2 linked regions of the Mus musculus genome follow. The protein of the gene in region 1 purifies or fractionates together with the protein of each later gene. This does not show direct contact. Links are inferred from orthologs where the notes say so. Each region holds a gene or a part of one and is shown in the gene's direction. Other genes may lie near its edges.

Region 1 (3,646 bases):
TGTGCAGCAAGCACTTTACTAACTGGACCATCGCCCTAGCCCTCAGATATCAATATTTGTTCATCACCTTTAAGAATCACTATCATGGTAGAAGTAGAAATAATACATCATATCGTAACACTTTTGAGAGATTGGTGGTTATATTAGGCTGCCAAATATATATGTAGTGATTGTTTAGCCTCTGGCCCACTCATTTTTACTATATCCCCCTTATAATTTATTAATAGCACTTAATGCATTTGCCAGTATGTTTGATATGCTATGTTGATCTCTCTGCCCATGGCTTTACTTTTATAAATGCTCTTGTTACTATTCATGAAATTGACTAGTTGATACCTACTATATTTGAATGTTGTCATGGAGAATAAATAGCAAGTGACTCAAATGTTCTGTATGTCAGTTAGAAGGCTAAACTCAACTACCGTTTCTTAGGTATCAGAGTTTGTTAGAAAAGTAGCAGAAATGAAACTTTCTTGGGGGTTTGTTTTCTTTTGTTTTCCCATTGTTTTTACCAATGTGTAAGAGTAACAGCCACAGTTTGGGGCACAGCGCTGTTTCCTGCTTCTAAGAGGCTGAGACTTGGCGGAGCCATGCGATTCTCCCTTGTCTCTCCATTTTGGAGTGCTCGTTCTGGGAAAGTTAGAAAACACCTGAGGGAGGTTCAGATGGCGCTGAAGGGCTGACTGGAGATGATGGTTGAAAGCTAGAGTCTGCAGTTCATCAGGACATAGTGAGGAAGGACACGAACATAAATATTAGGACATTAGAGTACGTTACCAGGATCCAAGGAAAGTCCATGAGGCAAAGCTCTCCGGTGCTGCCATGTTCCATTTGACCCAGTTTGGATCCCCACACAAAGAGAGAGGTTGAGGTCACTGGTCCTTAGGACATGATGTTTGTCAAAGGAAATGACTTTGGCCTATAGAGGAAGGAGTGGAGTGCCCTCTTCAGTAAAAGGACATTCGGTCTATAATTTCTCTGATTCAGTGCCAGAGTATTTTAAAAAACTAATCAAAGCAGTTTCTCTCTCACTTAAATCGTTGGAGACCCACAGCTGATACATTTTGTTTTCCTTTGCAAATTTCTCTTTAATGACTTCTCTAGTGTTTTCTGCTGTCTCTCCTCTGTTGGTAAATTTCCTTAAGCTTCAAGAGTGTTTAAAGTAAAAGTAAGTATCATGAGACAAGAACTGTATTTTATGGGTAGGATAATGCTTCTCCTGTGACGTTTTCTTTTCCCACCAAAAGTGAGAAGCGCATGCCTTTCCTTGGTGCGCCCGCCCGCTTCACATGGAGGACAGGAGATTATTCTCTACAATGGCTGACTTCCAGAATTCTTGCCTGAATGTTTTTTGTCAAGTATATATTCCCTTCTTTAGGCCTTTCTATATAGAGCCTACCAACATTGTCAATGTGAATGATGTCATTCAGAGGGTTAGTGACCATGCTGCTGCTATGAACAAGCGGATTCATTACTACAGCCGGCTCACCACTCCTGCAGACAAGGCACTGGTAAGGAGCAAAGCTCTGCTTTTTGTCTAGAGTTCAGTTGTAATGAACAGTAAACACCAAAACCAGGGCAACTCCCAGGGGTTGAACTTTTCACTGGAGGAGTCCAAAGATAGCATCATGCAAAGTCAAAGCAATAGTAGTTAATAGGTGCTTCAGGCTTGTTCATTCTTATCTGCCCTGGAGTAGAGACATTTGGAACGATCTGTTTGACAATAGCTTGGAGCTTTAATTTTTTTCTTATCTCAGATACCAAAAGCTCTGAGGAAGACAAATTGCTTTTGAAATAGCAGCTTAGATAAAAACATAAGGTTCTGGCTAGTCTCTAAATTTAACTTCTAAATTTGAAGCTACAAAGAAAAATTATTTATATACATTTTCTATAGGAATAAGAAACAAATTTGTTCATACACATACCTGATAGTTTCCTGATTAGTATTGCAGGTCACATAGTATCACAGTTCATTGTTTTGTCTTATAAACATTTAAGAAATTATTAGGAAAAGGCTACAAATTCAATAAAGGCCTAGTTTACATTATGGGTCATGATTGACTAAATTCTGTCTTATATTTTAGAATTTTAAAGTATGTAAGTAATCTGTTGCTTATAATGGTGATCATATGTGAGATACTCAGAAATTTGAAAGCTTAAAAACTCTGGTTAAAATGGGTCTGAGAATCCAAAAGGAACCAGCTCTGCCCTTCACTAGATGCCTACCAAGGAGAAGTGGGTACCACCTGACCATGGCTGTCTGATGTCACCCCCTTAATGGCTGCGTGAGGTCAGCATGCAGACCTCCTTGACTCTGCTTATTTGGGCAGCATCTCATGAAGTCCAAGCTGACCTCCAACTCTGTGTGTATGGAGAGGGACTTTAAACCCGAGCTTCCTACTTCATCTCCTTGGTTTATAGCACAAACCACCATACCTGGGCTCTAAGATTGAAAGCAAAGACTTATGAAATGCCATACGGAGGATCAATTTTCGTAGTTTTAATTTTTTTTTTATTTTTACCTGCCCCACGGGCCCTTTACATTCGTAGTGATGGTGAAGTGCATTATAGAATTATATAAATCCTTCGGGCCTTGAGATCCCAGGCTGATTCAGCCTCCCAGAGGCTGTACTTTTAGAAGCAGGCGTCAGAGATACCATCTGGAGCTGGATGGGCAGCACTACCTGGAAGTAAAGCCAACACCGCACACTGAGTCATAACCCTCTGTTATAACGATGGCACTGAGAGAGACGACTAGTGCATCTAACCAGTTGCCAAGGTTAATTGATCTCTCCACTTGTAACGAATTTGTATAAACATCCACACTCATGTTCTAAAAACCCCCAAGTCACTTTCCCTAACGGGGTGTTTTGGAGAAGAACAATAAATCACTGCTCATAGAGTAAAGGCTCTTCATTTATGGAAGAAATGCTATTATTATTATTATTATTATTATTATTATTATTATTATTATTATTATTATTATTCTAAGCTGGAAAGGGGAGGAAGCTGCCTGCCAGCATCCCCTGTGTCCTTGCTACTAAACGCACCTGCCTACAGAGCAGCCTTGTCATTGTCACTGAGGGCTTAGCAAAAAGGCACTGTGCAGGGCTTAGCCGGAGCCAGGGAAGCACGGCTGCCTGTCAGCAAGAGCCTGTGTGTCATGAGAATGTTCAGAGGGAGATGCTGCCCCACACCACTGCCACTGCCACTGCCACGCTGTGATCTTGCCTGTCCCCGTGCCTCCTCAGCATCTGCCACTCTTCCCACCCCCATCCTCCACATCTTTCCGGGCACGAGCCAGACCCAGAGGCCAACACAGAGCACAGGACTAGGTGAGGTGTACATGGAATAGGTTTATTCTTCCATTTTGTGTTAGGACAGTGTAAGATCACAACCAGAATTTTTCTACCTCGTATTGAACCATGCTCCTTATGAGTTTTGATTTGAATTGTTTTGTTATTGTTGTTGCTATTTTGTTTTTTTTTTTTTTCCCATTCGTTTTGTCAGCTATACTGTTTTTCCTTCTTGATGGGGCGTTCATAGTCTTGCACTTTTTCTTTGCTCATGGGAAAAGGAAATATCGTCTAGGTCATAGAGAAAAGTAAATAAACAGAAGGAAAAACACAATTTTCATCTGTGTTTT
Region 2 (4,223 bases), on another chromosome or scaffold:
GGTGTGTTTTGCAACTATTACAAACAAAGTAAATAAAAACTTACTGTCCTGAAAAGGTATTTATAATAAATTCTGTGAAGAATCCCTGCTACATAATTCAGAATTGTATATATAGTATGTATATTGATTTTGCTTTTAAAAAACATTTCTCTACAGAGTGAGTTCCAGGACAGCCAGGGCTACACAGAGAAACCCTGTCTCGAAAAACAAAAAAAAAAAAAAAACAAAAAACAAAAAACAAAAAAAATTCAAATAATACATTTGCAAAGATAGCCATATGGAAAAGATAGTCTCCAAAATATCCTTATCAAACTATCATCTCTTCACAGTAGGACTATGAGTGGTTAGTTTATTCTAAAGTTTTTAAACCCAGGCATGTTGGTGTAATCCCAGCACTTGGGAAGTAAAAGCAGAGAGATCAATACTTCAAGGCCAGCCTCGGACACACTGCAAATTTGAGGGCAATGAGGGGTATATGAGATACTGTCTCTAAAACAGAAAAGGGAATAAAAATTTTAAAGCTCAGTTATTTTAAAGTAATAATACACGGTCTTCACTAACACCTAAAACTTAAACCTAATTTCTTCCCCCTAAAACTTCCCATGACCTAGCTATTAGAAGTATCAATGCAAATTAAATATGGCACATGGCAGTAAATCACAGGACAAAGGTGGGAGAATTCGAGGCCAACCTACGAGAACAAAGAAGGTACCAATGTTAAGATTCTGACACTTTCCCAGCACGCAGTTTGGGGTTTCAACGTGTGCCATCTCTTCCTTTAGTCCCGTGTGTGCACCCCTCCCCATCGGCCCTGTGTGATAGGTTACTTCTCCTCCGATGTTGGTGAAATGAATCAATTTAAACCAGAGTAGATGATGTTAAAGGCAGGTTTATTGGGAAGCTGCCAGCCGGTGGGTGAGTTCACTGGCCCCAAGGACCAAGGCCAGCGAAGTTTCCTGGGAAAGGAAGGAAGAAAGAGAGAAGGGGGAATGTGTGCAGAGAGAGAAAAGGAGAAGGAGACCAAAATGTCTGGATTCTATAGAAAGGAGCCCTATAGAAAGGGAAGGGCAGCCCAGCCCCTGGGCTGGAAAGTTCAGGGTTGGGGGCAAGGTATGCCAGGTGGGAACTGAGGGATGCAGAACCTGGAGGCCAGTTCTGCTTTGATAGGTAAAGTATACACCTCAGCCTCTTGACCTAGGGTCAGAAACTGAGCACTGTCTTCTTAGCGATTGGCCTATTGCATAGATGAGACCATGCCAGACCTGCTGGTTACTTTAAAATTTAAACCAGGTCTACGTCTGGTTAGGACTGGAAATTGCTTGAACCAAATCCAAAGGTTAAAAATCACTAAGTCCAAGTGCTAGGTCAGGAAAAGGCCCTGAGGCCCGACTACAGATTGCTTTGAAGGCCCAGCACCCCCAATCGAAAGCCAGCCATCACTGGTCCTGTGGTAGTAGCTATGCCTTTTCGTAAAGAGCGCGGACGCGGCGCCGCGCTGAATTTCGTCCCTCTGGAGACGCCGTCCAGGCGCCCGCCTCGGTCAAGTCACGTGATCGAGGTTTGCGGTGAAGGAGGAAGTGTTTTGCTGCGGGGTCCTGGCCTGGGGCGGACAGCCTGCGGGATGGAGGCGACTTTGGAGCAGCATTTGGAGGACACGTGAGTAGTGCGTGCGGCCGGTCCTGGGCTCCGGACAGGGGAGCTGGAATGGGACAGCGGCATGGACCGCGAGTGTCTGCGGAAGCGTTTGGGGCACTCGGGGCGGCGAGCGGGTGACTTCTGCCTACGGCCGGGCCGCTCGTTACTGGGTAGTAAAGTTTCGTTAGGCGTGTTCGCAGAATCGAGTAGCTCTTGAGAAGTTTGGGAAACGGATTAAGTTTGGGGAAGGATGCCCCGGGTGTGCTAAATCGAGCCCCCGCAGTGCCAAAGCACTTTCACGCACATCTTCCCGCGTTTGTGGCCCGTCAGTTGCTCAGCGCTTGTGAAGTAAATATATCCGTAAAGTTTTTCAGCTATCTCTGTAAAATTTAAAATTGGGAGGTGTAAAGTGGCTTACAAGAAGACACCTCCTCCTTGAGCTTCTTAATCCCCTCCAGGAGCAATTCCCGTTACTGAGATTTAACAGTTGTCTTCAGGAGTTGCAGTCCTAGAGCATGCTTCTATACCAAGGACAGAGCCCTAAAGATAACTGCCTTGTTTGTGTCTTTGTGAAGCAGAGGTGCCTGAGAAAATGGTTTGGGTTTTGTTTTGTTTATTTAAACAACTCACAGTTTGTCCTCTGAAAGGGGGCGAAAAAATTTAAGGGCTGATTTGAAGTGCTTAATACTCGGTGCATAGAAAATCTGTTTTACTACAGTAATTTGAAATATTTTCTTCACATCATCTGGTTCATCTTTCTTGTGCTCCCAAAATTAGAATGAAGAATCCATCCATTGTTGGAGTCCTATGCACAGATTCACAAGGACTTAATCTGGGCTGTAAGTGTCTCCTACCAGCCTCCCTTTGAAGTTCTGAGAGCCTTAACTTACACTGCTACTATTTTCTAGCTTTTATTCCTGTTACCTTTAGGGCATAGAGACTATCTCCAAGTAAGAGTAGATGGTTGAAGCCTTTCAGTTGCATTTTAAAGGCAGAAATGTTCCTCCCAGTTCTACAACTGTTCCTACTAAAATGGTTTTGAATAAATTTTAAGTGGTCTAGAAAAGGGCTTTAGATAAGGACATCTTTACTGAATGCATTCCCTGTGCAGGCACAGTCAGGCTACACTATTTCCTTAATTGCCTCAATAACCCTGAAAATGGATGATGCTGGCTGCTAGTCCAGCCACTCTCAACAGTAAGTTATTGTCAGTAAAAATAGGGATTTCCTAGTTAGACACGTCTGACTTCAACCCCATTCTCCGATGCTGTCTGCTAGCAACATGAGTGCCGAACAGAAGGAGCCTCTTGGGGCTTCAGTTTCTTCATTGGGTTATTTTATTTCATACATACATTATGTGTGTGTTGTCTTAAGACATTTTTTTTTAAAAACTTATTCTACGTGGCCCTGGCTGTCCTGGAACAAACTTTGTAGACCATGCTGGCCTGTAACTCACAGAGATCTGCCTGCCTCTATCCCTTGAATGCTGGGAACAAAGGTGTGCATCACCATGCCCAGCCAGGCACTATTCTTAGTGTTTTCATTATAAAACGTACATAACCCCCCTTCCTGCCCCCCCCCCCCCACCAAAGCCCTTTATGGTCAAGAAATTTAGCAAGCTTAAAAGTACCTTGCCCAGGGTCAAACACCTAATGAATGGTTGAGATAGGATGTTTTTAAAGCTGGCTCCAAAGCTTAAAACACCCAGTACAGAACCAAGATGTGTTTGTGTGGTGTTCAATAAATTGTAGCAATTACAGATAAGGAACTAAGTCCAGAAAGGTAAATAGCTAAAGTTAATTAATGTCAGAAACTAGTAAACCCAAGAATCCTTATAACTGATGCAGGTTTTTTAGAGCTCTGATCTTTTGCTGGTATGATACCTGACAAAAGTAATATAGTTATGTCTTATACAAAAAGCAGCCATTTGGAACAAAGGTAAATTTTTTTGAAGCATTTGCCAAGTTACTAATGAAAACTCTTTAAATGCAAATGTGGAGGAAAAAAAAAAACTAAGTAAAACCTTCAAGGTGCGAAGTTGCTATTTCCAATAGATTTCCGGGCTGCACTTTGGCCTACGGATTTTTTATGTAGTAATAGTCAATCCAGAATTTCTGCCAGGTTATATTGTCTACTACCTTAGTTTTAGGTGTAAGTAAACCCCTTTATTTCAGGGATCTATAATAAGCTTGGTGGTTACCTTTTGTGCCTAGAGCCTGATTTAGTTAATACAAGTCAAAGTAATAGTAAAGACTCGGGGGACATTTGAAAGGAGCCCAGCTAGCTTCTGCTAGCAGAAATAGTTGCTCACAGGTCTTCACATATGCTGGCAAGGTGATCTTACAACTGGACTTCTGAGTAATGGCTGCTTCTTTGAGATTGAGCATAGGAAGAGAAACTCAGATTTCCCATAAGGAATTAATTAGCATCAACAAGCCCCTTATCCATACTGAATGCTTTTTGTCACTCTCGCCTTTGAATTTCTTGGTTTCAGCAAGGTTCCTATAAAATAGTTACTACCATCAGATGACTTGAATTACAGCTTCCTTATATGCTTGAGAAGGTGTTTAGAGATAGTGAGGGGAATA

The links. Proteins that work in one complex are often made in the same cells at the same time.
Region 2: the proteins of Slc38a9 (region 1) and Lamtor5 purify together in Homo sapiens (co-immunoprecipitation; 5 studies listed by BioGRID and IntAct, with this or other methods). This does not show direct contact. The link is inferred for Mus musculus from reciprocal best matches to the Homo sapiens genes SLC38A9 and LAMTOR5.

What each region holds. Positions count from the first base shown.
Region 1 is NC_000079.6:112,684,688-112,688,333, forward strand, and holds part of Slc38a9 (sodium-coupled neutral amino acid transporter 9), read left to right. Parts: exon of another isoform or gene 1-1,289; coding exon of another isoform or gene 1,290-1,378; coding exon 1,379-1,511; intron 1,512-3,646.
Region 2 is NC_000069.6:107,277,458-107,281,680, forward strand, and holds the start of Lamtor5 (ragulator complex protein LAMTOR5), read left to right. Parts: upstream 1-1,400; 5' UTR 1,401-1,459; coding exon 1,460-1,656; intron 1,657-2,412; coding exon 2,413-2,474; intron 2,475-4,223. UniProt on the Homo sapiens protein: As part of the Ragulator complex it is involved in amino acid sensing and activation of mTORC1, a signaling complex promoting cell growth in response to growth factors, energy levels, and amino acids.